Linked DNA regions of Mus musculus: all the other regions are reported to be linked to region 3. The links are microRNA targets in miRTarBase. Many come from high-throughput screens and were not tested one by one. Region 3 holds a microRNA gene; each other region holds the end of a gene's coding sequence.
What was found. The annotated mature microRNA mmu-miR-339-5p reads UCCCUGUCCUCCAGGAGCUCACG and lies in region 3 at 2,745-2,767, shown strand. An mRNA with a match to its seed (bases 2 to 7 or 8) in the 3' UTR can be bound and repressed. Matches are read on the target gene's strand: a 7mer-m8 pairs with bases 2 to 8, a 7mer-A1 pairs with bases 2 to 7 and ends in A, and an 8mer does both.

Region 1: miRTarBase lists Slc25a42 as a target of mmu-miR-339-5p. Seed matches in the 3' UTR shown: 7mer-m8 at 1,454-1,460 and 7mer-m8 at 2,129-2,135.
Region 2: miRTarBase lists Grap2 as a target of mmu-miR-339-5p. Seed matches in the 3' UTR shown: 8mer at 2,521-2,528.
Region 4: the mRNA of Marchf2 is a reported target of mmu-miR-339-5p. The part of its 3' UTR that is shown has no 7-base or 8-base seed match.
Region 5: miRTarBase lists Kif3a as a target of mmu-miR-339-5p. Seed matches in the 3' UTR shown: 7mer-m8 at 2,499-2,505.
Region 6: the mRNA of Aqp7 is a reported target of mmu-miR-339-5p. Seed matches in the 3' UTR shown: 7mer-m8 at 2,120-2,126.

What each region holds. Positions count from the first base shown.
Region 1 is chr8:70,182,394-70,187,329 of GRCm38, reverse strand. Slc25a42 (solute carrier family 25, member 42) reads left to right here. Exons shown (of 8, transcript NM_001007570.2): 8 at 554-2,990. The coding sequence ends at 861. Tmem161a (transmembrane protein 161A) reads right to left here. Exons shown (of 12, transcript NM_145597.4): 12 at 3,649-4,936. Among named protein-coding and RNA genes, the nearest start is that of Tmem161a, 12 kb to the right of the region's middle.
Region 2 is chr15:80,647,740-80,652,675 of GRCm38, forward strand. Grap2 (GRB2-related adaptor protein 2) reads left to right here. Exons shown (of 8, transcript NM_001289442.1): 7 at 119-235; 8 at 684-4,936. The coding sequence ends at 863. Among named protein-coding and RNA genes, the nearest start is that of Mir6957, 4.1 kb to the left of the region's middle.
Region 3 is chr5:139,367,539-139,372,474 of GRCm38, reverse strand. It overlaps Mir339 (microRNA 339), which reads left to right and starts at 2,730; the gene lies at 2,730-2,825. The region is part of intron 2 of 3110082I17Rik (RIKEN cDNA 3110082I17 gene); the gene reads left to right.
Region 4 is chr17:33,687,751-33,692,686 of GRCm38, forward strand. Marchf2 (membrane associated ring-CH-type finger 2) reads right to left here. Exons shown (of 5, transcript NM_001252480.1): 5 at 3,755-4,403. The coding sequence ends at 4,245. Among named protein-coding and RNA genes, the nearest start is that of Hnrnpm, 4.8 kb to the left of the region's middle.
Region 5 is chr11:53,600,390-53,605,325 of GRCm38, forward strand. It overlaps Kif3a (kinesin family member 3A), which reads left to right. Exons shown (of 18, transcript NM_008443.4): 18 at 622-3,857. The coding sequence ends at 670. Among named protein-coding and RNA genes, the nearest start is that of Il4, 16 kb to the right of the region's middle.
Region 6 is chr4:41,030,426-41,035,361 of GRCm38, reverse strand. Aqp7 (aquaporin 7) reads left to right here. Exons shown (of 8, transcript NM_007473.4): 6 at 109-227; 7 at 391-608; 8 at 903-2,288. The coding sequence ends at 1,116. Among named protein-coding and RNA genes, the nearest start is that of Aqp7, 15 kb to the left of the region's middle.

The DNA of each region.
Region 1 (4,936 bases), not on the chromosome of region 3:
TGAGCCTGTGCTGCACCTGCACCAGGTGGTTGTTGATCCCTGGCCGCCATGATCTGAGAATCCACAGCAGCATGCTTGGCTGTTCTTCTCCTGTGGTATGGGCTGTGCTAGGGCTCTAGATGGAGCAGTAGATGCCCCGACGTCCCTAGCAGGACACTAAGATGGAGACTACACTCACACAGCTGTCCCTGCACATCGCTACAGTCCTCATTAGCTTACGAAAGTCAGGCAGAGGCACGTCCTCCATGTAGGAGGAAACTGTCTGTGTAGCCCTGTACTCTAAGGGTCCAGGCATCCATGGAGAATCTTGGGATTCATCCCCACAGATGATGGGGCACTGAAAACTGCAGAATGGGGACCTGTACCCAATAGGTGAGGGGAAACTACTACATAGATAGCCTGGGCCACCGTGTAAGTCTCACTGCTGCAAAGTGTGTGTTGTGTTAGGCTAGGATGTGGGTCCCATTCCCAGCATCAAAACTAAGAAAGGGTGGCCAGGAAGCGGGGCCTTAGTTTCTTCAAGTGTGGCACTCATGTGCCCTCTGCCCTGCAGAGTACAGTGGCCGCCCGCAGCCCTACCCCTTTGAGCGCATGGTCTTCGGGGCCTGTGCTGGCCTTATCGGGCAATCGGCCTCCTACCCTCTGGACGTGGTGCGGCGGCGCATGCAGACAGCAGGTGTCACGGGCCACCAGCACGGCTCCATCCTGAGCACACTACGCTCCATTGTACGTGAGGAGGGCGCGGTGCGGGGCCTCTACAAGGGCCTGAGCATGAACTGGCTGAAGGGCCCAATTGCCGTGGGGATCAGCTTCACCACTTTCGACCTCATGCAGATCCTGCTGCGCCGGCTGCAGAGCTAGGCTAACACAACAGTGGATGGTGAGCTGTTCGAGCAGGGGCATGCAGCTGTGTGCTCGCAGCCCTGTGGTACCTTGAGGGTGGGCAGGAGGACGGGACCTGACTTGGGGCTGTAGGGCCCATAGCGAAGTGCTGGTCCTCAGGGTGTGACATTGTGATGATGGATCTTGGCTGTCCCCTCCCTTCAGTTCCTTGCTATTGGCTGGTGAGTCTCCTGAGGTGTTACCCAAAGGCCCCTAATGGGTCAATTGCACTTCCTGGCCCTGTGTCCTCTGACCTGCTGCTGATCTAGTGCCCATTGGCACCCGGGGCTCAGAGCCCATCCCTTCTTGCTATGACCGTGCCTGGCCTGCAGATGTGATAGCAATTCCTTTTAAGCCACACACTGGAGGGTCACAGTTTGCTCAGTGGTGGCTATACCTGTGTTCCTCAATCCTCCACCATGCCTGCCTATCCTCTCCCAGGTGACAAATGGCTGCTCTTGCCCACATAGCTTTCTCCCCAGAGCACTGTGCCCATCCTATTTCCGAGGGCTGCACCTGACCATTGCCAACTACCTGGCTTGTACCTTTCCAGGAGGCCCTATGGCCACCAGACAGGGGTGTCAAGTTCAGACCCCACTGGAAATGCCCATGTGGGTATCACTGATCTGGGGTGTCTTCCAAAGTACACCAATCAGGCCGAATGCAGGCCCAAAGCTTCTTATATGCACAGCATCCATGGAGGTAGGGCTCAAGCTCTTGAAACTGCCTTCTGTGGCTGTCATCTAGCCAGGCCACATGAAGCCCAAAGATGGGTGGGTGGCTTTTCCTGTGTGAATGAGTACAGATGTATCCATGACCTGGGGAGCAGGGAAAGGCTGGGGTATCCAGGGACCACCAGCCAGCTGACACAAGGAGAACCCCCCCACACACTGGGTTCCCTAGGTGTCACAGGAAACTCTTGCCTTTCCTGGTGTCTGGGGTTCTTGATTTAGGGTCTTTGAGACAGTCCTAGCCAGAAGCCCTGGCTGTCCTGCTTCTGAGTGTTATCTGGGCTAGCCTTCAACTTAGAGCAGCCCTCCTGCCTTTACTCTCTTTTCTTTTCTTTTTTTTTCTTTCTCTCCCTTCCTTCCTCTCTCTCTCTCTCTCTCTCTCTCTCTCTCTCTCTCTCTCTCTCTCTCTCTCTCTCTCTCTCTCTGTCTCTCTCTCTCTCTCTGTCTCTGTCTCTCTCTCTGTCTCTGTCTCTCTCTCTCTGTCTCTCTCTCTCTCTCTCATTTTATTTTCCCGAGACAGGGTTTCTGTATAGCCCTGGCTGTCCTGGAACTCACTCTGTAGACCAGGCTGGCCTCAAACTCAGAAATCTACCTGCCTCTGCCTCCCAAGTGCTGGGATTAAAGGCGTGCGCCACCACTGCCCCACCTACCTTTAGTTTCTAGTTTTCAACTTATCCTGCCCCAGGTCTGCACATAAAACCCCTACCCTTCCTATGCAATGTGGCTCTGGCTCAGAGGTGATCTGGGTGTTGATTCCCACAGCTGGATGGCAGCCATCTCACATGCAGGACCTGAGCAGGGTGGCTCGAGCCCTGGGCATTTGCAATTCTTGCTGCAGTCTTTGTTCATTCTATATTTCTTACCTTGTGCCTGTGACGCTTGGCCATCTCTCAGCCTCCGCGGATAGTGATGGGCCATCCCCACCATGTCCCCAGACACCCCCCCCCCCCGGCAGCCTCTGGTGGCTGAGAGGGACTGTCCTCTCGTGAGTGTACTGCCACTCCCTTCCCCACCTGGGATGGAGAGTCTAGGCATCCCTTACCAGGAGGCCGGAGGTGACTGAGGCTCCTGGGTCACCTCAGCAGGTTGCACCATGTAGATGGTTGGCTTGAGCCCTGCATCAGGCAACCAGCAGGGCAGGAGAAGTGAGGGTGTCCTGGGTCCCTGATCTTCTTGCTTCCCCATATCCCCCCAGTAGCTCTGTGGCTGCCCTCCCCCATGGTCACTGTCCAGTAGCTCTGTGGCTGCCCTCCTCCGTGGTCACTGTCCAGTCTGGAGTTCTATTTTGATGCCATAAAGACACTTTGTTTATATATAATGTTTATATATTTTGAAGATTTGTGCCAACAGAGTATATTTAATAAAATTTTAAATATCTCCTGCTTCTTACTTCTTCAACTCTGGCTCCACCTCCCACTCTATGAACGGGGTCAAGCTACTTAGCACTTTTGTTTTTAATTTTTCTAGATAAGGTTTCTCGGTGTAGCCCTGGCTGTCCTGGAACTTGCTCTGTAGACCAGGCTAGCCTCTCTGCTCTGCCTCCCGGGTGCTGGGGTTAGAGGTGTACAGCACCACTGCATGGCCACTATTTGCTACTTTAAAAAGGCATTTTGTGTATGGGTGCTTTGCATAACTGTGCAGGCCTAGTGCCGGAGGAGGCCAGCAGATCCTTAGTCTAGACTTACAGATGATCACATGGGGTGCTCGCACAACTGGATCATCAGCAGGAGCAGCCGGTGCTCTTCACTCTGAGCCATCTCTCCAGCCCCCCCCCCCATCCTTGTGAAAGAGAGCTGAGGATTGCAGGTGTGTTGTCCAAGTGCTCTGTGCAACTTTCTGTTCATAGATGTAAATGTGACACAGGCTACTGGGGATGAAATTGATGGCCAAAGATGGAACATTAGACTGGGGCAGTAGAGTCCCAGCCTAGAATCCCCCAGTGAGGGGCTGGGGGCGTGGCTCAAGGGTGGAGCACTTACTATACAAAAGACCCTGGGGTTTTTTTGCCAGTACAAAAAAGATAAGGATCCAGGAATACAGTAACCATGTAGCTAAATCTGCCAACAACATGGCTCGGATTTATTTAATATCTGAGAAATATAATCCATGCTGGCTTCTAGTTCTTGCATAGCACTGGCTGGCCCAACTACCTCTGGAGTCATCAGCTATACTCCATCATGCTCAGCAAATGGGCATCGGCCAGAAGCCTAAGGACCTTGCTCTGAAACACAGCTCAGGCCCAGTCAGCCCTGAGCCATGTAGCTGAAGGAGGTGGGGCCCTGTACGTCGTGTGCCCCTACACTCTGAAATCCACAGCAGAGCATGGGCATCCCTGATTCCCATGAGACTTCCACAAGGTCCTGCAGCCCTTGTCAGGGTCAGTTTGGGAGGCAGGGACTCCAGATAGCCCTTCAAGGACATCCTGTTGATTCATAACACACACGTCAGCCATATTTGCTGCAGTCATGAAGACCTGAGTTCAAGTCCCCAGAGCCCACATAAAGTGGGACAGCAGCACTAGTCTATAATCCTAGCACTCCTACAAGCAAGGTGGGAAGCAGAAACCAGAGACTCCCTGGAGCCTGTTGGACAGCTGACCTGAGGGACTCAGGTAAACAAGAGACCCTGTCTCATAGTAGAAGGCTAGGATCTACATGCTAAGTTGTCCTCTGATCCCTGCTCTCACACATGGACCTATTGTATCATACACAGCACCTGTGTTCACAGCACCTGTGTTCACAGCACATAGGCAGTCACACTCCTAAGTCCTCTTGGACAGAGACCCAGAGGCTCAAGGCTCTGACTGAGCACTGGCTCTTGAACATGACTGGGCCAGACCACACTGGCACCATGGTAAGGCAGCATTGCAGAAGCCCTCCTTTTTTATTCTCAATACACATTTTACATATGTAGGAAGGTCACACATATCTCATAAATACACACGTAAACACACTAAGTCATAGCAAAAAAATAACTTTGGAGTTGGAGGTGACCCTTAGTCACCAAGACCTCAAAACACAGCAGTCATCCTCACAGCTTTGGAGGATGGTGACAACCTCTTCCCTCTCTTCCCTTTCAAGCTTCCCCCGGCCCCCTTTTTCTTCTTGTTTTACATAGTCTTGTTACTAGTCTAGGCTAACCCTCTTACCTCAGCTTCCCCAAGTGTGCTGGGGAGACAGGCATGGAGACTACTGTCTCTCCCTCCTGGGGATACTGACAGATGCCGGGGCTATATGGATGCTGGGCCAGAGTCCCACCCCTAGCTCTCCTAGCCACCTCTGATCTTGAGGTTTCCACTCTCTCCCAGGCCCCTCTCACTATCC
Region 2 (4,936 bases), not on the chromosome of region 3:
CAAGTCTTCTTGGGTGTTATCTCAGTAGACAGCACCCCCAAGCAAGGCACAGGGTTGGGGCAGTCTGTGAGAGTCACCACTACTGATCCTGCAGCGGCCCTCTCCTTCATGTCTCTAGGACCGTCGTGGGGGCAGCCTGGACATAAACGATGGACACTGCGGCCTTGGAAGTGAGGTGAACGCCACGCTGATGCACCGGAGACACACCGACCCCGTACAACTCCAGGCAGCAGGGGTGAGTGAGCAGAGAGGGCGAGGAGGTCTCACCAGAGAGGGCTCAGCCTGGCTCATCCAGGCTGCTATTTTCAGACTATTGGGCTTTCACGCTCTTCTCCATCTCCTGGCAGCAGGGGATGCGTGAGGTTTATCCTTGCGATCCAGTACACGTGGCCTTGGGACCTACCCAGTGGTAGGGCACTTACATAACATATATGAGGTCCTAGCTTCCATCCCCTGTACCACAGTAGCAGAACAAGACCATATCAAGAGCAAAGGTAGTACGGCCCAGTAGCTTGGTGCCCAGGGCTGTGCATATCAGGTCTGCTTTAGATTGCTGCAAAGTCAGCCTTTGGGAAGGGCTCGGAGGACTCAGAATAGATCTAGAAGCTCACGGCTCCTCTGTGTGATAGTCGTACCAAAGACCAGCCTACCGAGCTCATTCCCATCTCTTGTCTCTCCTACAGCGGGTGCGTTGGGCCAGGGCACTGTATGACTTTGAGGCTCTGGAAGAGGACGAGCTGGGATTCCGAAGCGGAGAAGTGGTTGAAGTCCTGGACAGCTCCAACCCATCTTGGTGGACCGGCCGTCTGCACAACAAACTGGGTCTCTTCCCTGCCAACTATGTGGCCCCCATGATGCGATGAGTCGTACTGCAAGGCTTAGGGGCTTTTCGTCCAAAGCCGCCTGCAAGACAGAGAGGGGCGAGGGGGTAAAGCTGAACTTTATAATGACACATACATGCATACATGTGCATGTGTGCCCGAGTACACAAAACATGTATATGTATGCCGATGGCTACACACGACATTTTATAATAGTAATTTATTGGCAGGCAGGTTGGCTCGTTGATCAGCATGAGAAGGAACTTGGGTGGCGAGGGGGCCGTTTTGCCAGCTCTTCTCTGCCTGAGAGGGCAGTGGGGAGCTGGGAGCAGGGCGGGGAAATGACCTTTTCCAACCCTCAAACTTTCACCGTTTCCTTCCTGGCTTGGGAATTTTCCAAGAGAGCAGGCAGCTCAGCAGAGATCACACCCCAGGGATGGATGAACAGGGCAAGGCTGGGCTTGGCGAGGCACGTTAGGTAGTTCACCTGGCTCTGTCCACTTACAGGGTAGCTCCCCTCTTTTGCATAGAGCAGGCGCTGCGCCCTGAGAATTAAGGTGTAGCAGATGCAGGGCTTCAGGCACCAGGCAAGTCTGAGCAGGTCGCCAGCAAGGGTGTGGTCGGGAGGCTCCTCTTGGTGTGGGAGAGACACGCAGGCTCAGGCCTAGCCGATGTCTGGCTAGGACTTTTACTTTCCACCAGAGACTGTCCCTTGGGCAATCCTCTTCCCCTACGGCTGACAGGAGAGTTAGAACGGAGCGATGCCACAGAGGTTCTCCACAGGCCCTTGTGGCTTACTTGAATGTAACTTGTTTCCTCGGCTGCAGAGAAAGCTGCAGCCTAGATTCTTGGAAGTGCTTGGAGAAGCCCTGGCGGAGAATGTGGGATGTGTCAGCAGCCTCACTCTGTGGTTACAAGAGTGTCTCTGTGGAGCTCAATTGGGTTTTGCTCCTGATTTTCTGTGGTTGAGGACATCTTTGCCAGTGGACGAAAGGGAAGCCAAGAGTGCTGACTGTGGATCGACTGATAAATTGACAGACTGACTCTAACCCTGACAGGAGCTTTCACGGAAATGGGTTTCCTCTTCTGTTTGAGCGCTAGGCCTTCCCCTATCCTCCCTCCACCTGGGAAGAGGAAGCCCACTGCCACTGTCCCTCTGTCACCTTAAACTAGAATTGTGTGTCCTGGGGAATGGAGCACAGAGAAGCCTGGCTGGGTGGGGAGGGGGACTCTGGAGAGGAAGCCCAGTGCTTTTGGGCAGCCTGGGAGTAAAGATGTCAGAACAGAAGGTACTTACAAGGGTGTTGGTGTAGTCGTGTGTGTGTGTGTGTGTGTGTGTGTGTGTGTGTGTGTGTGTGTGTTCTAAGATAGGAAAGGAAGAGCTGGGTGAAAGGGGTGGTAAGCATATGTGATGGGAGGGGGGCTGTCTCCTTGTCCCCTCCTGCTTTAGGGAGGGACTGGAGGGCATCTGTTAGTGAGGGAGACAAAAGAACAGTCTGTGACTCAGGAGTCACTGCAGTGTGGCACATACTCTGTCCCTTGTGACTCTGATTCAACAATCTTCTGATCCCTAGGTTCCCTTTAGAGAGAAAGAGAGGGACCAGGAGGGAAGAGATCATAGCCTGGAGGCTCAGGGATGCAGCTGCAGCCCTGGGACAGGAAAGCAGAGACAGTGTCAGAAGATGGGTGGCAGGTGGGAGACAGGGAGACTGTGGGGGGTGGGGGTGGGGTAGTATCAATTGGGGCAGCAAGGGGAGACATGGGCAGGTGGTACAGAAAGAACTCTTACCCCTCCCCCGGAGAAGGTAGGAGCCCCCCCCCTAACACCCCCCCCCCAGCAGGTGAGGAAAGAGTGCATCAGGAGGAGGTGAAGGGCAGAGAAGGCGCCAAGGAGGAAAAATGAGGCCGGAAGCTGAGGCAAAGTGGGCCCAAGCTTGGTAGTAGGTGATGTGAGACATTACAGTAAATAAAAGCCAAAAGTGGTGTTTGGTTTTACAGTATTTGCAAACCATATGCTTTCCAACAGCCCACAAACTTCATCCATTTGGCTGATTCTGTGGGAGGAGCAGCCCTGGCTGAGGCAGAGATGACTAGCCTGGTTCTGGTCTAGTTACTATGCCTTGAAATACTCTATGAGAATACAGTAATAAAGTTTTGCCAGCCTGTATCTGGTGCTCATGCTGCACAGCCCTAGGAGAAGGGGGTACTCCTCACCTTGGGGCAGCAAAACCCCTAGAACAGGCATCCTGTTCTAGCAGGAGCCCTGGTGGGAGAAGGTAGGAGGAATTCTTTATTGAGGTATCCTCATTAGCAGGGTTCGATTCGAAAGGGAACAGGAGAGTCACCCCAAACCATGAAGGGAGACCAAGGACTCCCAGGGGCTGAGCCTAGGAGGCCAGCACCAAACTGTCTACCTGGGGCTCAGATCTCTTTGGATTCTGCTACTGCTTCCTGGGAAGTAGGTAAGGAAGAGAGCATGAGCCATCATACCCCCCAACTCTCTCTCTCTCTCTCTCTGGCTGCACAGCCAACTGCAAGTACACGGTCTCTGATTTTGGCCGACACACCATAGGTGCGACTTCATGACATCTGAGCAGAGAACTTCTAAGAAGAGCCAGTTCCTGTTGACCAATCAGAGTTTCCTCCCCACTTGCTGAAAAATCACTTCATTTCGAATATCCAGCAGCTACCATGGCCCACTCCCCATTACATGGTCTCAGTCTTTCCAAGATCTCAAGTATGTGAGCATTGTCTGGGGGCCGTGTTAAAATGCTGGCTCTGACTCAGCCTTATATCTATCTCTAACAAGCTCCCAGGTGCTTTGATCAGCAAGGGCATCGGTCTCACAAATCTAATTGGATTCTTTTTCTGGGGATAGTCAGCCACTGCTCTCTGTTGCTAGCGAATAAGTCACTTTGGCTTTGGGACAGGCACAACTCGTTACTGTCTTTATGACACCATTCCTGTTTGGCGGCCAGTGACTTCTTTTTTACATCTTCATCGGGGATCAGAAATTTTCCAAGTGACAGGCATTTGGCTGGAGACTCACACAGGAATTCCCTACTAGAAATCACTTTAACAGGAGCAGAAGCTGTGGAAGGTGCAGGAAGACTTCTCAGGAAATCCTGAAAGAGAAAAATCAATGTCCATCACTTTGGGCTCTGGGCAAGGCAGGGAATATCACTAGATCTCAGCTCACAGCCCACACAAGGGACAGACCGTCCTGGTCAAAATAATTGCATGACACAATTGTTTTGTCTAGTTTCAATGTGACTATCTGTAAGACAAGAGTGTGAAAAAAATCTACCACTGCAATTCTTTAAAACAAATTTATTTTTGTTATTGTTTTTCAAGTCCTTCCACTTCATCTCCCAGCCGGCGGCATCTTTCTGTCTCCCATAGCAACTGCACTATCTTCTGTACTTGTTGCCCTGCATTCCTTCCTGTGCCTGGTACACTCTCCACTCAGACACCAAGGCAATCTTTGGACAGACAAACCCAATCACACCACTTTTCTTCACAGGCATTTATCCTTGAACCTAAAATCCCAGCCCGGTCTTGCAAGGTCTGGCCCCTTCGGGATCATCTCTCCAACTTCCTCTTGCTTTCATACCCCTTCCCCACTGTCCTTCCTTCAGCCTCCAGATGGCTAAGAACCTTCCGAAGGGGGAGTCATAACTGTGGGTCCCCCCAGGATGCACATCCTGTGCTTTCCAGCTGACTGCTGTTCAGATCTGGGTTCACACGTCACTTCCTCTCATCACCCCCATGTGGAATAAAATACATCTTTAGATTACCTCTTGAGTCCCATGGTTTTCCTGAACACCATGCACACAGATGGGGGCACTAGATCGAGTGGTGTGACCATTAGACTGTATGCTTCTTGGGGTGTGTGTGGGGTCATTGTATTTTGTAGATACTTTATATATTCATGGCACATGGGGAAGGCTGTCAGTAGATATGTGTCTAATGAATGATATTGTGTTTCTCTAAGGTGAAAACTCAGGTATAAAATGAGAAAAGGGTGAGACAAGATGCTCTAACGAGAAGGTGAAACACTCTTACAAGGAAACTCATTAAGATAGGAAGTAACCAACTCAAAATACCTTCAGGAA
Region 3 (4,936 bases):
CTCTCCTAATTCCGTGTCCGGATCTATGGAATACAAGTCCGCGGCAAGCTGGAGGGTGGCTTGGCAAGAGCACACACCCCAGCCACAGCCTAGGTTAAACAAGGATGCGGCCAACCACGCCCCCTACATACAATAATCCCCCTTGGTTCAGGCACGTGTCCCGGCAGAGGCCACGCCCACACGCCGAGGGCGCAGGCGCGCCTGCGTCACTGTCCAGCCGGCTAGATCTGGTTCCGCCCCAGTCCCGACTCGCTGCTGTGAAGCGTCCTGGGTCTCGGCAGTTCGCGCCAACAACTCCCCGCTGCCTACGAGCGAGGTCAGTGCGTGGCCAGGCGCGGGCGGCGCCAGGTGACCCCGAGGCATCGGTGGTGGCCTCGCTCTGTAGCCACGCGAGGTCGTCCAGGTGTCCCTTCGCACCGCTGCCTGCCTTCCCACCCCTGAGCCCATAGCCTGGGCCCCGCTCATAGTCTTATTAGACTTTGAGTCTTAGGCTTTGAGACCGCTTGCCAGGTTAACATGCCAGGTTAACTTGCCAGGTTAACATGGACACCCAGGAGGACCCTCCTGGGTGTCCGCGGTGTGTGCAGAGCCCTGACCCAAAAAACTGCTTGTGAACAGTGGGAGGGGCATAACAACAAACTTTATGGCACTTAATGAAGTCCCTGTGTAATGTTGATTTCATTCTTGCCTGCTCCACTAGCCTGGGTTTTTGTGTTTTGTTTTGTTTTTTTCCACCTCCCAAGAGGCAGACTTTGTTGCAGGCCTTCTCAATTGCTCCCAGGTCAGCCTTCCTGCAGGAACTCCTTAAAGTCTGTGGGGAAGGTGGTATAGTTAGGGTCTGGAGGTGAGAACTTGGCAGGCTGTGCTCACAGGCTGACACTCGCAGGAGAAATAGGATCGCAGGCTGCTCAGCTAATGTGGAAGCCTGGTGGCTGATAGTCTTTGACAGTACATAATTGTTTGTTTGGTTTTTTTTTTTTCCCTGGGAGACCCCATTTTCTGCCCAGTTGTAGCTGCTTGCACCCGCACCTTGGATGACTCCCACACTTTGCTTAGTGGGCTTTTCAAGCTTTAGAAATCCGCTCTGCATTATAATAGCAAGATCAGCACAAAAAGTAGGAACTATAGAGGATCCTGCGAGTGTTGTTTGTGCCCCAGTGTTTGTTCTGGTCATCTCTGCCCTCGTTGGCTCAGAGCTGTCTTCACATTTCTGCTGTTTTAAAAAAAGGGGGGTGGGGAGTTTTGGATTGCTAGGGAGTCACTTACCCAGGTGAGCAGAGACATCTGACCTTGCTTGCAGGGTGGTTGCTGGGCCCGTTGTAGCAGGAGAAATGGCCTTTCCTTGGCCACAGCAAGAAAGCTTCCATGACCTTAATGTCACTTGGGGGTCCACTAGGCAGTTTGGGATGTGTGAACACAGCTGCTCTACCAGAGGAAGCCAAAATCAAAAGCATTTTGATTACCGGCACACTCAAATAGAATTGGGAGTGGGGCACGTGGAAACCAGGCTAGAACAAGCATCCCTGGGTGGTGGGCATGCCGGGAAGCTCTAGAGAAGGGGATGTGGGTACCTGGCCCTGGCTAGAAAGAAGGCCTCCAGCTAGGGCGAAGGAGGCAGACTGCAGCTGAAATGAGACTGAGTCTCGCTCGGCTCAGGGACGCAGCGCAGGCTCTGCACAGTACACAGGTTCTTGTGTCAGCAGGCTTTTCCTGGCCTGGGAATGCTCAGTTATAGATGCAAGCCCCTCCCTCTCCTTCACTTCAGGGTCTCCTACTGCAGGGGTCTGATTAGAGACCTCCCCATCTCCCCCGCTGCAGGGCCCTCTTCCCTGCCTGTTGGCTGCTTTCTGCCATTTCTGAGTAGACCTAGGTGGGAGCTTGTTGTGTGTGTCGCCCTCACGCCCGTGATTCAGGTGGCAGGGGCTGACTCTGTCCTTGCTCTTGGACCAGGAGCTTCACTGATGGCCGAGTTGGGCTTCCCACTTAAACTTGTGCCAGAGCTGCTGGGACCAGTTCCTGTGATCTGCAGGCAAAGGGACGGAAGTTTTATCTTCTGGAGCCAGCCCCTCAGCCTAGTCAAGGAAATCTGCACCCTGTTCAAGCTCCTGGGGTCTGTCTGCTCCTGTGTTGGAACTGGGGACATGTGAGATAGCAGTGGGAGAGGTTAGACCTAGAAAACCCATGGGACCTTCATAACCTTGTTGGTGGGGCCAGTCAGCCTGAGTCAGGTGAGCTGAGGCCAGAGAGCCAAGAAAACCGATGTATAGTCGGGGACTCACAGCCTAGAGGCCTTGTGGTCTGTGCTGGAGTCTGTGAGAAAGTTAATTCTCTGGGCAGCCTGAGGTCAAGACTTAGGCTTTAGCCTGTGTTTAACCCCCAAGTAAGTGACACAGGGTGTTTCTGCCGTGACTGCAGAAGGACCTGTGGCCTGGACAGAGCCTGGGCTTGGTGGCGGTGACAACATCACCTCTGGGGATTCGTGTGTCCTGTGGCAGCTGGTGATGGCCCAGTCTCCTGTTTCTCAGGGATACATCAGATCTGCTGCTCACTTCCGCCATTCAGGTCACTGAGGAGGCAGGGTGCCGCATCTGTCATCTTTGTCTTTTTCAAGCATGGGGCTTAAGTGACATTTTGTGCATTTGAAAAGTCATATCTAGAAGGGGATCCCTAGGTGGGTGTGACCCTTGCCTTGGCACCAAGGTGGTGAGAGCACAGCTGTGCAGAGCTGGACGGGGTGGCCACTATCCCTGTCCTCCAGGAGCTCACGTATGCCTGCCTGTGAGCGCCTCGGCGACAGAGCCGGTGTCCACCCCTGCACTGTCCACAGACCCTTGCCTGCAGACCAGGGTGCTCAGTCGCTGGCTGTTCATGCTGTACCTTCTTGAACTCGATTGTGCAGATCTGCAGGTTGTTCCGTGGATGGAGGGGACTCTGGTTTCTCTGTGCGGTGACGCAAGGCACTGACCCCTCTGGGGTCCTAATCATCTTAACCTACGCAGACACTGAGGGGGAGGGGAGAGGAGCCAGGAGGGAGCCTTCCAGGTCTCTCCCTCTGTGTGTGTCCTCTGTAGCACCAGTTGATTCTACTGCGTGTGACCTATGTCCTGGCAGTTGGTGTCCCTGGGTCACTTCTACATCCACTGTGTTTCAGTAATTACCTCCAAATAAAAAGCTTCCTTTAAAACAAACTCTCTCCCCTCTCTTCATTATGTTGTTGTGCTTTTGCTTTGTCTTCTGGAAATCTTGCTACCGAGTGAGTGCATAGCCGGGCAGCAGTCTGCTGAGGTCTGTGAACCGGAATGGGCTCTCAAGGTCGAACACCTCTGTGGGACCCTGGACTCGGGCTGGCTCCAACTGAATGGAGGAGGGCTGATTCTGGGCTGGGGAATGAGAACAGAGTCCACTGGCCTTGGCACCCAGCTCGTCAGCCTCAGCAGGCTTCGTGGTCTCCCCCCACAAACATCGCTGTCACTTGTAGGCCATTCCCAATGTCTGGGGAACAGGTATAGGGGTGGTAGGGACCAGAGACCATGCCCCAGCCTTGGAGGCACCACCTGGGTATGTGATAGACAGGCCAGGTGCTGGGCTCCATCGACCATCTGCTGTGCCCTTGGGACTCTGTCCTGTGTGAAGCGGGTCAAATGACTGGATTCCCTGCCACTCAGCTGCGCCCCCAGTACAGCTGCTCTGGTCACATGATGGGGTGGGGACAACAGAGGGTCCTTCTACCCTCACCTGTGTTCATCCTTACACCTGACTCAGTCATTCCAAGAAAGAAGGTCCTACAGAGCTGTGTGTCTGGCACTGGCTACCAGGGCCTCTACTGCCAAGGTCTACAACTAACCTTTGAGGGGTTTTTGTTTATGTTTGAGACAGACTTGCTAAGCTCAAGCTAGCCTTGGACTTTCAATCCTCAGGACATATTCACCAACCTCCTCCACAATTCCAAGAACGTTTGAACAAGATGTTTTTGAGCCCAGTGGATGCTCAAAAACGCTGGGCATTGACTGCCTCCCCAGGACAGCACAAATCCCTATTAAGAGAATATCCCCAGTCATACTGCCCCAGCACAGGTGATGCCCTGGCCAGGGCCAGCAGCTCCTTCTAGCTGTGTGGAGAAGGAGAACATCTCTCTGCCCTGTGAACTTCATTGGGGAAGGACAGTGGGCCCTTGCCCTTCCTCCTACACAGAAGGCCTCTTTTACCCCCATGGGACCCAAGGGAGGGGCAGTGGTGGGGTGCTTGAAGCTGCGGTTTGCTGCAGCACCCACCTTTGTGTGCCTCCTCAGCGCCTGAGGCTTCAAAAACAGTAAGGTTCAACCAGGGCTTCCTGATTAAACCTGGGGAACAAACAAGAGAAGCAGGCCCACGCAGTTGCCCTGGTTCAAGGTTGGTCCTGGGTTTACACACAGCCTGGTGAGGGCAAGGGAGAAAGTGCCGCCTGGAGTCTTTGAGCTGGCAGAAAACACCCACTCACCAGGATGCCCCTGCTTACAGATGGTAGAGTTAAGCCTCCTCACCAGCAACAGGCACAAGCAGGCCAGACTCCCCTTACCAGTGTGGCTCAGAATGCCTGGCCAGGACTCTTCTCAACATCCAGAACTCAGGGAGCCTGAGGCAAGATTGCCCCTAAGGGGACGCTAGCTAGCCTGGGCTTTATAATTCCAGGTCAGCTTACCAGCTAACCTACACACACACACACACACACAGGCTGTGCCCTGTCATGGACACCAGGCAGTCTTGAATTTAGCTACCAAGGCTGTTGGGAGATGGTCCAGTTTTCTTCTCAATCTCCAGAGTCACCCAGCAAGCCTTGCCTGTTAGCATGGGACAGAGGCTGCCTGCTCCGCCAGCCCTGGATCAGTGCAAACCATGAGTGGTGATGGAGATGTGGGTGGAGGAACCCTCAGGGTGTGCCATTTGGGAGACTGCTGAT
Region 4 (4,936 bases), not on the chromosome of region 3:
TGTTGAGCCTCTGTCTTCCCACCTTTAGAAATCAAGGTAATAACTTCTTCCCCAGAGAAGAGGAGAGATATGAAACAAGCTCAGATTTGGGTCTCATCCATGGTAATCCCAGATTGGTATAGAGAGTATTATCATTAGTTATAATGAATTTATGGGATCTGGCAAATTGGAAATAAAAAATATGTGAAAATTGTTCTTACCTTTTTCCTTTTGGAATGGAACCAGGACTTCCCACATGATAAAAATATTTTGTACCTATGATGGTTTGTATATGGTTGGCCCGTGGAGTGGCACTGTTGTAGGTGTGGCCTTGTTGGAGTAGATGTAGGCTTGTGGGTGTGGACTTTAATGCACTTGACCTAGATGCCTGGGAGTCAGTCTTCCACTAGCCTCCTTTAGACGAAGATGCAGAACTCTCAGCTCCACCTGCACCATGCCTCCCTGGATGCTGCCATGCTCTTGCCTTAATGATAATGGACTGAATCTCTGAAGCTGTAAGATAGCCCGAAATTGGATGGTGTTCTTATAAGAGTTGCCTTGCCGGGCAGTGGTTGCACATGCCCTTAATCCCAGCACTTGGGAGGCAGAGGCAGGCGGATTTCTGAGTTCAAGGCCAGCATGGTCTACAGAGTGAGTTCCAGGACAGCCAAAGCTATACAGAAAAACCCTGCCTTGAAAAACAAACAAATAAAAAAAAAAAAGAGTTGCCTTGGTCATAGTATCTGTTCACAGCAGTAAAATCCTAAGATTGTACAATTGAGTTACATACATGGCCCTGGTATACTGTCAAGTTTTTATTATTATTATTATTATTATTATTATTATTATTATTATTATTAATTTGCTTTTTGTTTGTTTTATTGTTGTTACCATTGTCGTCACTGTTGTTTAAGATAAAATATTTAAGCTGTTCTGGAATTCCCTATATAGACCAGGCTAGCCTTGAACTCAAAGAGCTCCTACTGCCTCTGCCTCTTGGCTGGGACTAAAGGTATATGCCACCACACATGGCTTATTTTACCTTGAGACATGATCTCATTATGAAGCCATGGGAAGTCTGGAATTTGCTATGTATTTCAGGCTGCCCTCGAACTCACAAAGATCTGCCTGCCTACCTCTAAATCTGTGTGCTGGATTAAAGATATGCACCACCACAAAAGGCCCTTTGTGATTTATTTTATGTGTACAGGTGTTTTGCCTACCTGTGTGTCTTGGTACCATGTGTATCCTTGGTATCAGTTGGATCCCCTGATACTAGAGATACAGATGGTTGTGAGCCATTACATGGATCCTGAGAATCAAACCCAGGTCCTCTTCAATAAAAGAGCAGTCCAGTGCTCTTAACCACTGAGCCATTTCTTCAGCACACACACCCACCCCCAACTTGGTTTACTCTTAAAGTCATTTGTTGCTGAGTATATCACTCCATGGTAGATCATTTACCTAGACTATGTGAAGCTCAAATTCAATCCCCAGTAGCATTTAAAAATATATATGTATATATAAATAACATATATATATTATATACATAGGGAGAGAGACAGAGAGAGAGACAGAGAGAATATATGTATTGCCAGGCATGGTGATGCATACCTTTAGTAATTACAGCACTCAGAAGACAGAAGCAAGAGGATCTCTTTGAATTCTAGCCTGCCAGAGCTACTCAGAGACTGTGTGTGTGTTTCTGTGTATGTGTGCACTAAAATTATATTAAAAACTTAATTTATTTAATGATCCTGGGAATCTAACCCAGAACTTTGTCTTTGTTATTCAAATATTCAATCACTGAACTATATCACCAGCTAAAATAACTTTTTTGTTTGTTTGTTTTGGTTTTTGGTGGTTTTTTTTTTTTTTTTTTTTTTTTGGTTTTTTTTCGAGACAGGGTTTCTCTGTATAGCCCTGGCTGTCCTGAAACTTACTTTGTAGACCAGGCCGGCCTTGAACTCAGAAATCTGCCTGCCTCTGCCTCCCGAGTGCTGGGATTAAAGGCGTGCGCCACCATACCCAGCTTAATATAACTTTTAAAAAATCATTTATTGTAGCCAGAGAGATGATTCAGTGGTTAAAAGCACTTGCTGTTCTTCTAGAAGACAGAGGTTTTGTTTCTAGCAGCCACATGTCAACTAACAACCATCTCTAACTCCATCTAGTTCCAAGGAATCTCTTGGCCTCTTCTGGCTTCCTTGAGCACTGCATACACATGGAACACTCACTTATATGCAGGGAAAACAAAACACTTTTACACAAGAATAAAATCTTTACAAAATATTTTTAAAAGATCATTCACCATAAATCCTGCCCAGGCCAGTGGCGGGGGTGGGGGGTGGGTTGTCAATGGATGAGAGCACTTGTGCAAACCTGATAGCCTGAGTGTGATCCCTGGAGCCCACATGAAGGTAGGAGAGACTCTGCTCTACTAGTAAGGTTTCTTCTGACCTCTTCCAGCAAAATAACAATAATAATAATAATAATAGTTATTATTATTATTATACATTTTAACATGATAATAAAAAATAAGCTAACCTCATTTCTTGTTCTTTTATTTTTTTCCCTCATATATGTGCAAGTGCATGCCTGTTCAAACCTGTGCATGTGCATGCAGAGGCCAGAGGCTAATGTTGGTGTCTTCACTCATCTTCTCCCCCTTATACATTAAGGCAAGGTGTCTCAACTGTACTTAGAGCTTTGCCCATATGGTTAGTTTAGCTAGCCAGCTTGCTACTAGGATTTCCTAGAGGACAGAAACACACACACTACTGATCTATATAGGTTATAGAGATGGGAAATTTTCATGTTTGTGTAGCAAGCCCTCTAACTACTGAGTTGTCTCCCAAGGTCCTGAATCCTAGTCTTTATTTAAAAAAAAAAATACAAAAACAACAACTCTGACTTTATTTTTTCTTTAGGCTTCCATGCTGGTTAGATTTAACTGTCAACTTGACAGAATCTAGAGTCCCCTGTGAGATGAACCTCTCGGGGGATGACTATGGGGATCATCTTGATTGTACTGATTGATATAGAAATACCCAACTTAATTATGCCTTGATTTCCCTACCATGAGGGGCTGTACCTGTAGCTGTGAGCTAAAACTAAGTGCTTTCTCCCTTACATTACTTTTTTAAATTAGATATTTGCTTTATTTACATTTCAAATGTTATTCCCTTTCCTAGTTTCCTCTCCAAAAATCCCCTATCCCCTTCCCGCCTACCCCTGCTCCCCAACCCACCCACTCCTGCTTCCTGGTCTTGGCATTCCCCTATACCGGGGCATAGAACCTTCACATGACCAAGGGCCTCTCCTCCCATTGATGACCCACTAGGCCATCCTCTGCTACATATGCAGCTGGAGCCATGAGTCCCACCACGTGTTTTCTTTGAGTGGTGGTTTAGTCCCAGGGCTAAGTTACTTTTTTTAAAAAAAAACTGTATTTTATGTGTATGAGTATCTTGCCTGCACTTATGTATTGCACCATATGTGAGCAGCGTCTATGGGAGCCTAAAGAGGCACTGGATCCCCTGAAGCTGGAGTTGGAGACCGTTACAAGCTGTGAAGAGCACTAGGAATTAAACCCCAGTCCTTTTCTCGAGTAGCCAGTGCTCTTCACCCCTGAGCCATCTCTGTCCCTCCACTTCAGGTCCTTTATCATAGCAATAAGAGAAGAGAAGAAAAGAAGCTTCATACAGTCCCCACAGAACAAGCCAAGCATTTTAGACTTTGTGCCCCCACAGAATCACTCGCTTGGAACAGCTTAGAAACATAACTGATGCGTCCATATTAGCCAGCAAGGGCTCCTTTTATTCATTCAGGGGTGGGTTTTTGAAATGCAGTGCAACTTTATAAGATTATAAGTCAAGAGTGCCAGTAAAGCAAGCCAGCTAGGTGCAGAGTAACGCAAGAAGCTTGCTGGAACCTTCTAGTCCAACGGGCGCCCTTGACACCAGCGCTAAAGCTGCTGTGCAAAAGGTGTCAAACAGATCTCAAAATGAGACAGAGGTGCCTACTCCATCCAAAGCTCAAATCTGTCCATCTGTGCTTGTCATATACAACAATGTGCAAAACAAAACCCTTGAAAATATGTTCACACGGGATCACAGAGCAGGCTCTGCTGGCTGTGGCTACGGGCCTGAGAAGCATCATAGCTGTGCATGAAAAGTCAGGCAGCCTCCATCTTTCCAAATGCCAGCTGCATTGCCATCTGACTCTGGTCTGTCTACTACCTCTGAGCCCTGCCAGCCAGGCCTTCACACAGGGGTCTCCTCTGCCACCTTTTTTAAGAGTCCAGTAGCCAGCAAGGAGTGATGTGGATCCTCGGAGCCATCTGCTTCCCGAATCTTCAGGCGGACTTTCTGATTTGTCTTCCTCCATTCCGAGTACAGCTGGCAATGGTATCGGAAAGAGACCTGCGGGGGCAGTCCTGCAGTGGGTGGGGAGGTAGAGACAGGCCTCCACCCTGGGGAGGAAAGGGAGCCCTGGCATTTGTCATGGGCCAAACCTAGAAGCAGTGCCACCTCTGGGCATTTCCTGAATACTATGCATACACTCACCCATTCGGTCCTCTGAGGATACTCTGATACGCTCCGAGTCCTGTAAACATGAGGGATCTACCACCTTGATCCCAGGAGGGAGCATGACTCTAACAGTTGATGAGAATGGAGCCTTAACAGTCTCTTGGGATTATTTAACCCCAACCAATCACAAAATTGCCCAACCTGGAAGCAACCAAGGTGTCTCTTCTTAGGTAAGAGGATAAAAATGATGGTGCATTTACTGGACTGGGAAGATGGCTCAATGGGTAAGAGAACTTGCTTGAGGGCATAAGTTCAAATCCCCAGCATCCATGTAAAAAGCTGAGCAAGACCCTGTACCATACCTGTAACCCCAAAACTGGGGACGAGAGGGAGGTAGAGATAAGAGAATTGCTAGGATTAGATGG
Region 5 (4,936 bases), not on the chromosome of region 3:
TAAAACTGTATAGATCTTAAATAATTTGGCAAGCTGTTTTGATATAGTTTTTGTAATGCACTGCTGTAAAATATATGCCTCTTGTTTAACTTAAGGTAAAGAAAATTCTTGTGGGCCAACATACGATGCAAACTCAACTCTGTAACAGGCCTGGAGAAAAACAAACCTATAGTTTTCCTAAGAAATGAGAAACATGCAGTGCTTCACGAGAGGCAGGCAGTTGATTGTGCTGGACAGCAACAAAGAAGGCCCATGAGATAGATACTCTTGTAGGCTCTGCATCTGGGAAATGTGACTTCTTTTCCTGCTTCTCTGAGGCTGCCTGTACCATTAGCATCCTTGGAGGAGATGACCAAGGGGCACCCTGATAAGTTTAGCTGCCTCCTGACTACTGCACCTTGTCTGCCCCGCTCAGCTCAGCGCCTCACCACTCTAGAATGCCGTGCGTGTTCTCGTGCTTGCTCTCGGTGACCTACTCTGAAAAAATGGGTAGCAGTCAAACTTTGCCATGGTCAATCATGGGCAGTGTTGGTCCATTCGTGGACCCACGCCACAGAACTGCTGCCAGTTCAGTCTCTTGGGAAAAATCACTCACCTTGCACTTTTTTCTTCTCTTAACAGAAAGCGTTCTGCAAAGCCTGAGACCGTAATTGATTCTTTACTTCAGTAAATGTACAGAATTAAAGTTAAAATAATAAAAAGAGTGCTGTCCCATGCCTGGAGAGAACTCCTTAATTAAGACACGAGGACAACTGTATGGTTCACATAATGGAAGCTGTAAAGCATGGAGAGAGACTGGAAATAGCAATTTTCCTAATATCTTTTAGACTCTTTAAGTGTCTGTAACATGTAAGTGCGCCGCAGCTCATGGTCGTTGGGCATGGCGCACTGTGTCTGTCACACTGCTCTGCAGGAAGTAAGGGTTCCGTTGTTGTACGTGAATGTGCGTTTCTTAGCTATGTATTCAACTACCGTGGCTCTAGACAAGCAGAATCTCAGACTAGAACCAAGTCTGTCTTGTTTGCACACAACATATAGCAGATCACCTTGTCCTGTGTCCTGTGTCCTGTGTCCTGTGCCAGTCTGGGCTGCCCATCTAAGCAGTGACTTGATTCTGTACCTGCCTGACCTGTCTAAATGCAGTCCAACTTTACACTCATCCTGACTGCATCTAAGTGTGCAATGACTACCTTGATTGATCTCCTGTGGAAAACTATAAAATCTGACAGCTCTGCAGGCTTACATTCTGAAGATGCAGTTTGTGTGCTCGCCTGTGCACCCTCCACTTCTGTAGCTCTGACTCCACATTCAGCCATTGTTGTTACTAAGTTGGCTCCCCACTTCTCCTGAAGCCAGCATTAGCCACTTACCCTTGCTCACACACACATTCTAAAACATTCCCTGGACATACAGCTTACAAACACTTCCTTGTCTGAATTTTAAGTTTGATGGAAATAACTATAAAAAATGAGACCAGGGGTTGGGGATTTAGCTCAGTGGTAAAGTGCTTGCCTAGCAAGCCCAAGGCCCTGGGTTCGGTCCTCAGCTCCGGAAAAAAGAAAAAAGAAAAAAAAAAAAATAAAAAAAAAAAAATAAAAAAAAAAAATAAAAAATGAGACCAGTCTCATTTTTCAGAAAATGAAACAAAGTAAAAAAAAAAAAACCTTTTAATTTTCTTTATTGTATATATAAATTTTATATATAAAAATACTCTTCTGGATTTCTTGCATTGATTAATCCAGTTAGATGGAATTCCTCTACATAAAAACGTTAATACTCACTGTATAGTAGGGTAACTTGTAATAGAGAAGTTTTGGTTTTGTTGTTTACGTATATAATTTTTTGAAGGTCATGTGCTTCCTAAACCCAAGTTTGAAGTTATACAATCAACTCTGAGCTATTGATTCCAAAAGTTTTGAGACTTCCCACGTGAGGATAAATTAAATTGCTATGATTTTAACAAGTTTGGATAAATACTGACTTACAGCTACATTGCTCTGTGTGGCTGCGGATGACTGATCAGAGGGGCATCCCTGGCGAGAGGTGGAAAACATGGCCGGACAGTTTTAGGCTCTCCTGAATTAGAGCCCTGAGTATCCTGGATGTGCAGGCTGCTGGTGTTAGCATGGCGTGCGGCAGCATCTTCTATTGTGAGTGTGGCCTGCTGTGACTCAATGAGCTCTGTGTGTGTGTGTGTGTGTGTGTCTTGCAAAGGCTCATGTGAGCTGAGCATCTTGGTGACGTCAAATTTCGCAATGATGTAAATTTACATGTTAGTAATTAGAAGAATCTATATGCCTTCATTTTAAAAGTCCATGTTTCTATCATTTAGCAGTTCAGTTGGCCTAGAAGGAATATCTGCTGTGAATTAAGCTAAAACATGAGAGAAATTAAATCTAGTTAAATCAGTAACACAAGTAACTCCATAAAACTAACAATTTAGAAGCTTCTCTAAGCATCTTGACTTAGTAATTTTATTTGCTTGCTTGTTTTTTTGAGACAGGGTCTCTGTGTTAGCCCAGGCTGGCCTGGGACTCGTCGTAATCCTTCTGCCTCAGCCTCCCAGGTGCTGAGAATGCAGATGCATGTTATCATACCAAGCCATATGTTTATTAAAGCATTGATGTTAAAACTCTAATCAGGTGGACATTGTTCATTTTCTGAAAAACCAAATTCGATTCTCACCAGGTGGGGAGGTCTGTTGAAGAAGGTAGGAAGCCCACTTCTGCCACAGCCATGCTGTGGCTGCTTCTCATGGACTCTGTCTTCATCTGCAAATGGAATCATTTTCAGTGTTAATTCCATGAATGGATAGAGATGTAGGACAAACTTAATGTTTAAAATAAATGTACAGATTTACATGAGTGGAACAGATCTATAAATAGGCTATTGATACATAGCCCTTTTTCTTTGATTTAAAAGGTAGTATTTATTTATTTGAACTGTATAGTGTGTTATGGCTGGCTTTGCATTTACATACCCTGACAGTTAGGCTCTCTCCACTCAGTGTCCACTGTGATCTTAAGTCTTGGCTTAAAGGAAGGCTCTGCAGCTGCTGTTTGCCCCCAGAATCCTCTGGTAAGCTGTCTCATTTATATTCTGGAAAAGGTGATTTTCAAATTTATGTTTTTGGCAGCCAGAACATCAGGGTTAGTTTGGAAGGAGAGGGGGAAGTGTTACTTCATCTGCAACATGTTTTAAAGTGATAATTATAGTTTCAGCGATTTTATTTCCATTTTAAGTTTATGTGGCCCATCCCCCTTTTCTCTTTGAACTCTTAACACAAGGAACACCTTTTTTCCTTATAGAGCTGTGAATTAAGGAATGGGCAGAGTTTACATTTACACACACCTGTGTCTGCCCAGTTTCTCCTCTCTCCCCTCTTCCATTTTGAAATAGAGTCCAATGTAGTCCAGGCTGGCCACAAACCCTCTGTGTAGCCCAGGTTGGCCTTTAAGCTCCTTATCCTCCTACCTCCATCTAACAGTTGCTGGGATCATACTTATGCACCAGCCACCACACTGAGCTTTGCCTCCACCCCTTCTTAACATACATAATTGTTCTCTGTCTTCCTTTTTCTTAAAATACTAGAACCCATAGTTCTTCTTAGTGCCTTTGAGCTGACCCTGCAGTCTGACTAATTAGAATCAGTGAAACCCTGAGTAGTGTTACTGTAATGCTGTTACCGACCAGGAAACAAACTGTACAGAAAGTTGGCTGTGTTAATTCAAAATCCACACTTGAGCTGTATTTAATGTATAAATTGTACTTGTCCAAGCTGTATATATCAATGCTGTGTGTACGTGCAGCCCAGGAGGATGAGAAATAAATGCCTCCCCATGCCTAATGTCTTTTAAAACATCTTTATTCATTTATATTTTGCCGTGTGTGAGTGTCTGCCTACACGTGTGTGCACCACATGTGTGCCGTGTGGCTGGGCTGGGATGCTGACTTTTGCCATGGCTGTGTAGATGGGACCATCTCCCTTCATCCTCCCCACCAAAGACCCCGAGATGTACAGTTAGGGCAGAATTACATACACCTGGTTGGGGAGAATGGCTGGACACTCAGGTGAGACTCCAGACAGCCCCAGAGGCCTCTGGGAAGAGGATGTCTTCACGGTTTCCATTTCCTTTTTAAAGATTTTGGGTGGTTTTATGTGTCTGCATGTCCCCAAATCTGTGCTTCTGTATTGTGAGTGTGCCTGGTGCCTGCAGTGGTCAGGAGAGAACATCAGGTCCCTCAGAACTGGACTTAGGGACAGTTATGAACCACCACGTGGGTCCTAGGAACCAAACTCCAGTCCTCCACAAGAGCAGCCAGTGCACTTTTAACTTCTGAGGTGACTCCACAGCCCTCAAGTTTTTCTTTGATTGATTGAACTGTTAAGATCTAATGGTTGCCTCCTTACTTCTTGCCTGGTGGATTCTGAATCACCATTTCCTAGTCCCTTTCTTCTTTAGGACAAATGACAGTAGTTTGGGGGTGCACACATAACGTGCTCACATGTGTGCAGGTGCAGGCCTCTTACTGTTCCAGGGCTCGCTGGTTAGGCTGGGCTAGCAGACCATCAGTCCCAGGGTGCTTTTTTCTCTGCTTCCCCAGGCTGGATACTGCCATGCTCAGCTTTGTACAAGAGCACTGGGGCACACTCAGCACCTTACCTGCCGAGCGCGCTCTCCAGCCATGCCCCTTCCCCACTTTTAAGATTTTTATTTTTGTGTTGAATGGGGGTGGGTTGGGGAGGTATGTACACATGAGTGTAATTACCCATGGAAACCAGAAGGGGGTGTCAGGTCCCCTCAAACTGGGGTTACAGACAGTAGTAAACTGCTCAGCATGGGAGCTGGGAACTGAATTGCAATCCTCCAGAAAAGCATCCCAGATACCCTTTTTTGAGACTGATTCATTTAGCCCAGGTTGGCCTCCAACTCTG
Region 6 (4,936 bases), not on the chromosome of region 3:
CCAAATCCCCAACCCTAGTAGAGTAAAGCCCTTGAACTATTCCCAGCCATATGTTACAACCTCCTTTTGGGACCCCAGTGGGGATTAGCTCAATCTTTGTCTCCACAGGTGCCATTAACCACTTTGCAGGCGGAGACCTGTTGGTGACAGGTTCCAAGGCCACTGCAAACATTTTTGCCACCTATCTTCCTGAATACATGACACTGTGGCGGGGCTTCCTGGATGAGGTCAGTGGCCAGGGAATTCCCACCTCAAGTCCCGCATGAGAAAGAGAGCAGAAGAATTCTGCATGGGATCGTACCAAGACACATCTCTGCCACTGCAGATCTGGGGTCCTGCTGAGTGACTGGGACTTGTCCCCAGTGGGCTGCTCTGGCATTTACTCCCCAGGCATTCGTGACTGGGATGCTGCAGCTGTGTCTCTTCGCCATCACCGACAAGAAGAACAGTCCAGCACTTCAAGGGACCGAGCCCCTCGTGATAGGCATCCTTGTTACCGTCCTTGGGGTGTCGCTAGGCATGAACTCCGGATATGCAATCAACCCATCCCGTGACCTGCCTCCCCGGTTGTTCACTTTCATTGCTGGCTGGGGCAAACAAGTGTTCAGGTACAACCCCTGCCGGACCCCACTCCCGTCAGCTTTTTGGGGTCCCCGTCTGCAGAGGAGTGAACTGTTGGGGTGCACAGAAGTCTTATGAAGTCTCCACGTGGTCTGGGAGGAGGAGGGGCCCCAAAGATCTTCAGTTGCAGATCCTGATATTGGACCGTCAACTGTGTCCCCGATCAGGCTAAGGACAAGAGTCCCTTAGGGTAAATGGTCTCCCTCTGTTGGTCTGAGCTGGATACAAGAGGTATCCCGGGCATCGGTAACCTCAGCAGGCCTCCTTCTTTTTGTCTGCAGAGCCGGAAACAACTGGTGGTGGGTGCCGGTGGTGGCACCACTTCTGGGCGCCTACCTAGGTGGTATTGTATACCTGGGTTTAATTCACCCCAGCATACCACAGGATCCTCAGAGACTGGAGAATTTTACAGCAAGAGACCAGAAGGTAACTGCATCATACAAGAATGCAGCTTCTGCAAACATAAGTGGCTCTGTGCCTCTAGAGCACTTCTAAGTAGAGCTTCTCTTTGACCACAACCGTACTGCAATAAAGCACACCACCTATCAGCGGTCCCCCACTCCTTGGGATCTCCTGCAGCTGAACTCCCTCCTAGGTTTTTCTGGGAGCTTCTGAGTTATTCCAGCCTGGTACTTGTCGTGGAGAGCAGGCTGGCCTTGAACTTGTGATCTTCTTGCCTCTTTCTCCTGAGTGCTGGGGATACAGGCATTTACTACCCTGCTTGGCATATTCCAGGGTGATTCTGGGCTCTTTTCTGAGGACTAGAGCATAGGGTCAGAAGACTCCAGCTCTTTCCAGTTCTAGGAGGTGGGGTGTCAAGGGGGAATGTCTACTTTGGGGGCTCAGGGTGAGTGATATAAAGGGCTTTCGTGCATCAGTATGTGTGTTGGGGGAACAGTGAGAAAAAGACCGGAGGTAGCTGATGGGAGATCAGATTTGGGGGTCTTTGACGGTTTTCTGGATAGGAGTACAGGATCTCCTGGCTTCTCCCTTCCTCTAGTTTTGAGCCAGAGAAGGTAAGGCTAAGAGTTTACATCAGAATTCCTCAACTTTTTTTTTTTTTTTTTGTTAATGACTTCCTCAGTGGCCTTGTAGTTCTCCACCCCTGTTTTTCTTAAAATTATGTAGCCCAGGCTAGCCTTGACTGGAACTCTTATATAACTAAGTTTAGCCATGAACTCTGGATTGTCTGGCCTCCACCTCCTGAGTTCTGGGATTACAGGTGCGCACCACCATTCCCAGTTTATATGTGGTGCTGGGATCAAACCCAAGGCCTTGTGTATGCTAGGTAATATCCATAACTAACTTAAATCCCAGCTCCCCAGTTTTTTCTTTTCTTGTCTTTTCTCTTTCTTTCTCTCTTTCTTTCTTTCTTTCTTTCTTTCTTTCTTTCTTTCTTTCTTTCTTTCTTTCTTTCTTCTTTCTTTCCTTCCTTCCTTCCTTCCTTCCTTCCTTCCTTCCTTCCTTTCTTTTTTTTTTTCTTTTTTTGGTTTTTCAAGACAGGGTTTCTCGGTGTAGCCCTGGCTGTCCTGGAACTCACTTTGTAGACTAGGCTGGCCTCGAACTCAGAAATCCGCCTGCCTCTGCCTCCCAAGTGCTGGGATTAAAGGCGTGCGCCACCACTGCCCGGCCCAAATTTTTTCTTAATTAAAAATTTTAATACCACATATGTACTGTGTGTCTTCCATCTGTGATAAGTATGTGTGTGTGTGTACATATGTGTATATTTCTCCTTTTCCTTTTCTTCCTTTTTTCCCCTTCTGCTTTTTTTTCCTCTTTTGACAGGCTCTCACCATTACTCTGGCTGACCTGGAACTCTGCTATGTAGGTCAGGCTAGCCTGAAACTCACATAGATACATCCACCTCTGCCTTATGAGTGCTGGGATTAAAGGCCTGCACCACCATACTTGGCTGAAAAGTGCTTGAAACCCATTTCCAGAATCATTTTTTTGTATTGCTTGGTATGGGGTGAAAGCTTTTAAGGGTTGGCTTCTAATTTCTTCCTTCCAGTCACTAGGAGGAACTGATTCCAGAGGTGGGAAGGAGGAAGCAAGCAGGCAAATCTTTCAAACAGGGTAAGGGACAGGAAAAAGCCTCCTGAGCTGGAGGGAAGGTTCGGAGGACCAGCTGTTGGTGGCGTCAGTCTGGATTCAGAAGACAGCATCCCTCTGTCCTTCTGTTACTGTCTCCAGCTGCTGAGCCCTTACTGTGTGCAGGCCCTGGGAATGCATGATGCAAGAGGCTGGGCCTTTGCATCTGGGGGCTGCAGTGCCTGCACGTGTGTATGTACGTGTGTGTCTGTGTGTGCATGTATGCCTATGTGTGCTTGTGTGCACATGTGTGCACGTGTACATTCGTGTGTGTTTGTGTGTGTATGTGTGTGTGTTGCTGGGTGGGGAATGAGCTAAGCAAGAGGGAGAGGCATTGCCCCAAGGGTTCTAGGATCAGCGAAAAGATCACAGATATTCTTGCCAGTCAGGTCAGAGATCAATTTTCAGAAGTGCAGACAGAGCAATGTGGTGTCTAGCAAGTGTCCTTTACTAGAATTGAGAGCCACACGATAGCCTGAGTTTATTGATTCTTTCCCCCTATCCATGTAGGTGTCCTAACCTGCTGAGCCATCACACTGGAAATAAGTTTTTTGTTTGTTGTTTTGAGATTCGGTCTCTTTCTGTATCCAAGGCTAGCCTCTAACTGTTAACCCTCCTGCTGGGATCCCAGGCCTGATTGGCTCCTTGCAGTTTCTGGTCTCAGTGTCAGGTCACAAGAGCCTTGACCCCATCCACAGATCAGTTGTCTCTATTCTCAGTTGATACTGGCTGAAAGTCTACACCAGGGCAGACACCACTGAGCTTAAAAGGGCTAGAGACACAAGGACATCCTCGGCCTCCTGTAGTTTATATTCCTGTACAATTCATGGTGTGTGAGACATGATGCTAAGGCAGTGGGAAGATGCAGGGATGACACAGTGAGCCATGTGGATCCTGAGGGAAGAGCCTGGCAGGCTGAAGGTGAAGCCAGTGCATAGCCCATGACTGGGAGGCTGGAGGAGTCACTGGGCTGCAGTGCAAAGATGGTGAAGGGCAGGAGGGGATGAGGTCAGAGAAGTTAGGCCGGGGAGCCTGAGGCCAGGCCCAGGGGATTGTAGAGGACAAGTGTGGAAGAGAGGTTAGGGCATCTCTGGAGGAGAAAGCCAGGTTTCGGTGCAGGAAGGAAGGAAGCAGCCAGTATGGGTGGGGTGGGAGTCACAGCACCTATGGGGCCTTGGGCTTTCAGCTTTGTTCATTATACATTCCTTTCCCATTATTCTTCCTGACCCAGTACACACTGGCTGTGGGCCCCACCTGGCTTTGGGCCTTGTTTTCCCATCTAGACAATGAGATTTGGATCTGTTGGTGTTCCGTGGCCTCCCAGATGACTTTTCCAGACCTCTCTCTTCATCCTGCTCCCTCTCCAGTTGAGTGTGCTGTTGCAAAGGGGCATAGGCATGAGGCAGGGGCAGCTAGTCCCACGGCAGGCCCCTCGCAGACTTTGGAGAGGGTTTGGATCTCAGCTTGGTGGTCCAGCTTTGAGAAGAGTCCCTTACTCCTTGTTTGGCCTGCCCTCTCCCTCTCTCTGGGCTTTGCTAGGGGACACTGGCTACACTCTGCTCTGGGTGGTCTTACTCACCTTCAGATGGAGACTTGCAGGCTGGGAAGTAGGAACAGCCTCCTCATGCTGATGCCCTTTATGTGAGGAGGCTGTGGCCAGCGGCTTTGACTCCACACCCACCTCTGCACTGACCTTGTAGTGGAAGGAGTAGGTCTTAGAGAGATTCCAGCCATCCCATATAATAAGGAGCGTGGGACACTTAAAAGCACAGGAAGCCACCAGCCTGGATCTGAGTCCTTGCTCTACCCTCACTAGCTCTATGACCTGAGGTAGAAGCTCCCACCTCATAGCCAGTGCTAGGAAGACAGGGTTCTTCCGGGCACAGGGGTCTTCACGCTTGCTGCCTTCACTCCACTATCATCCAGTCCTCTTACATTCAAGGATGCTAAGGGCCATGTGTCTAGGCACCCAAGGGTATGACCTCTGCTAGCTTTGGGCTTTATACTGTCAAATATACTATGCAACAAGAATATAAATAACATACAGGAACAATTAAATAACACACACACACACACACACACACACACACACACACACACACACACACACACACACTTCTCATGCCCTCACACAAAACAAGCCCTTATATATAGTCCCAGATGCTCGAGAGACTGAATCAAGAGGTTTGAAGGCAGCAGGGCAACATAGAAACATTTGTTTCAA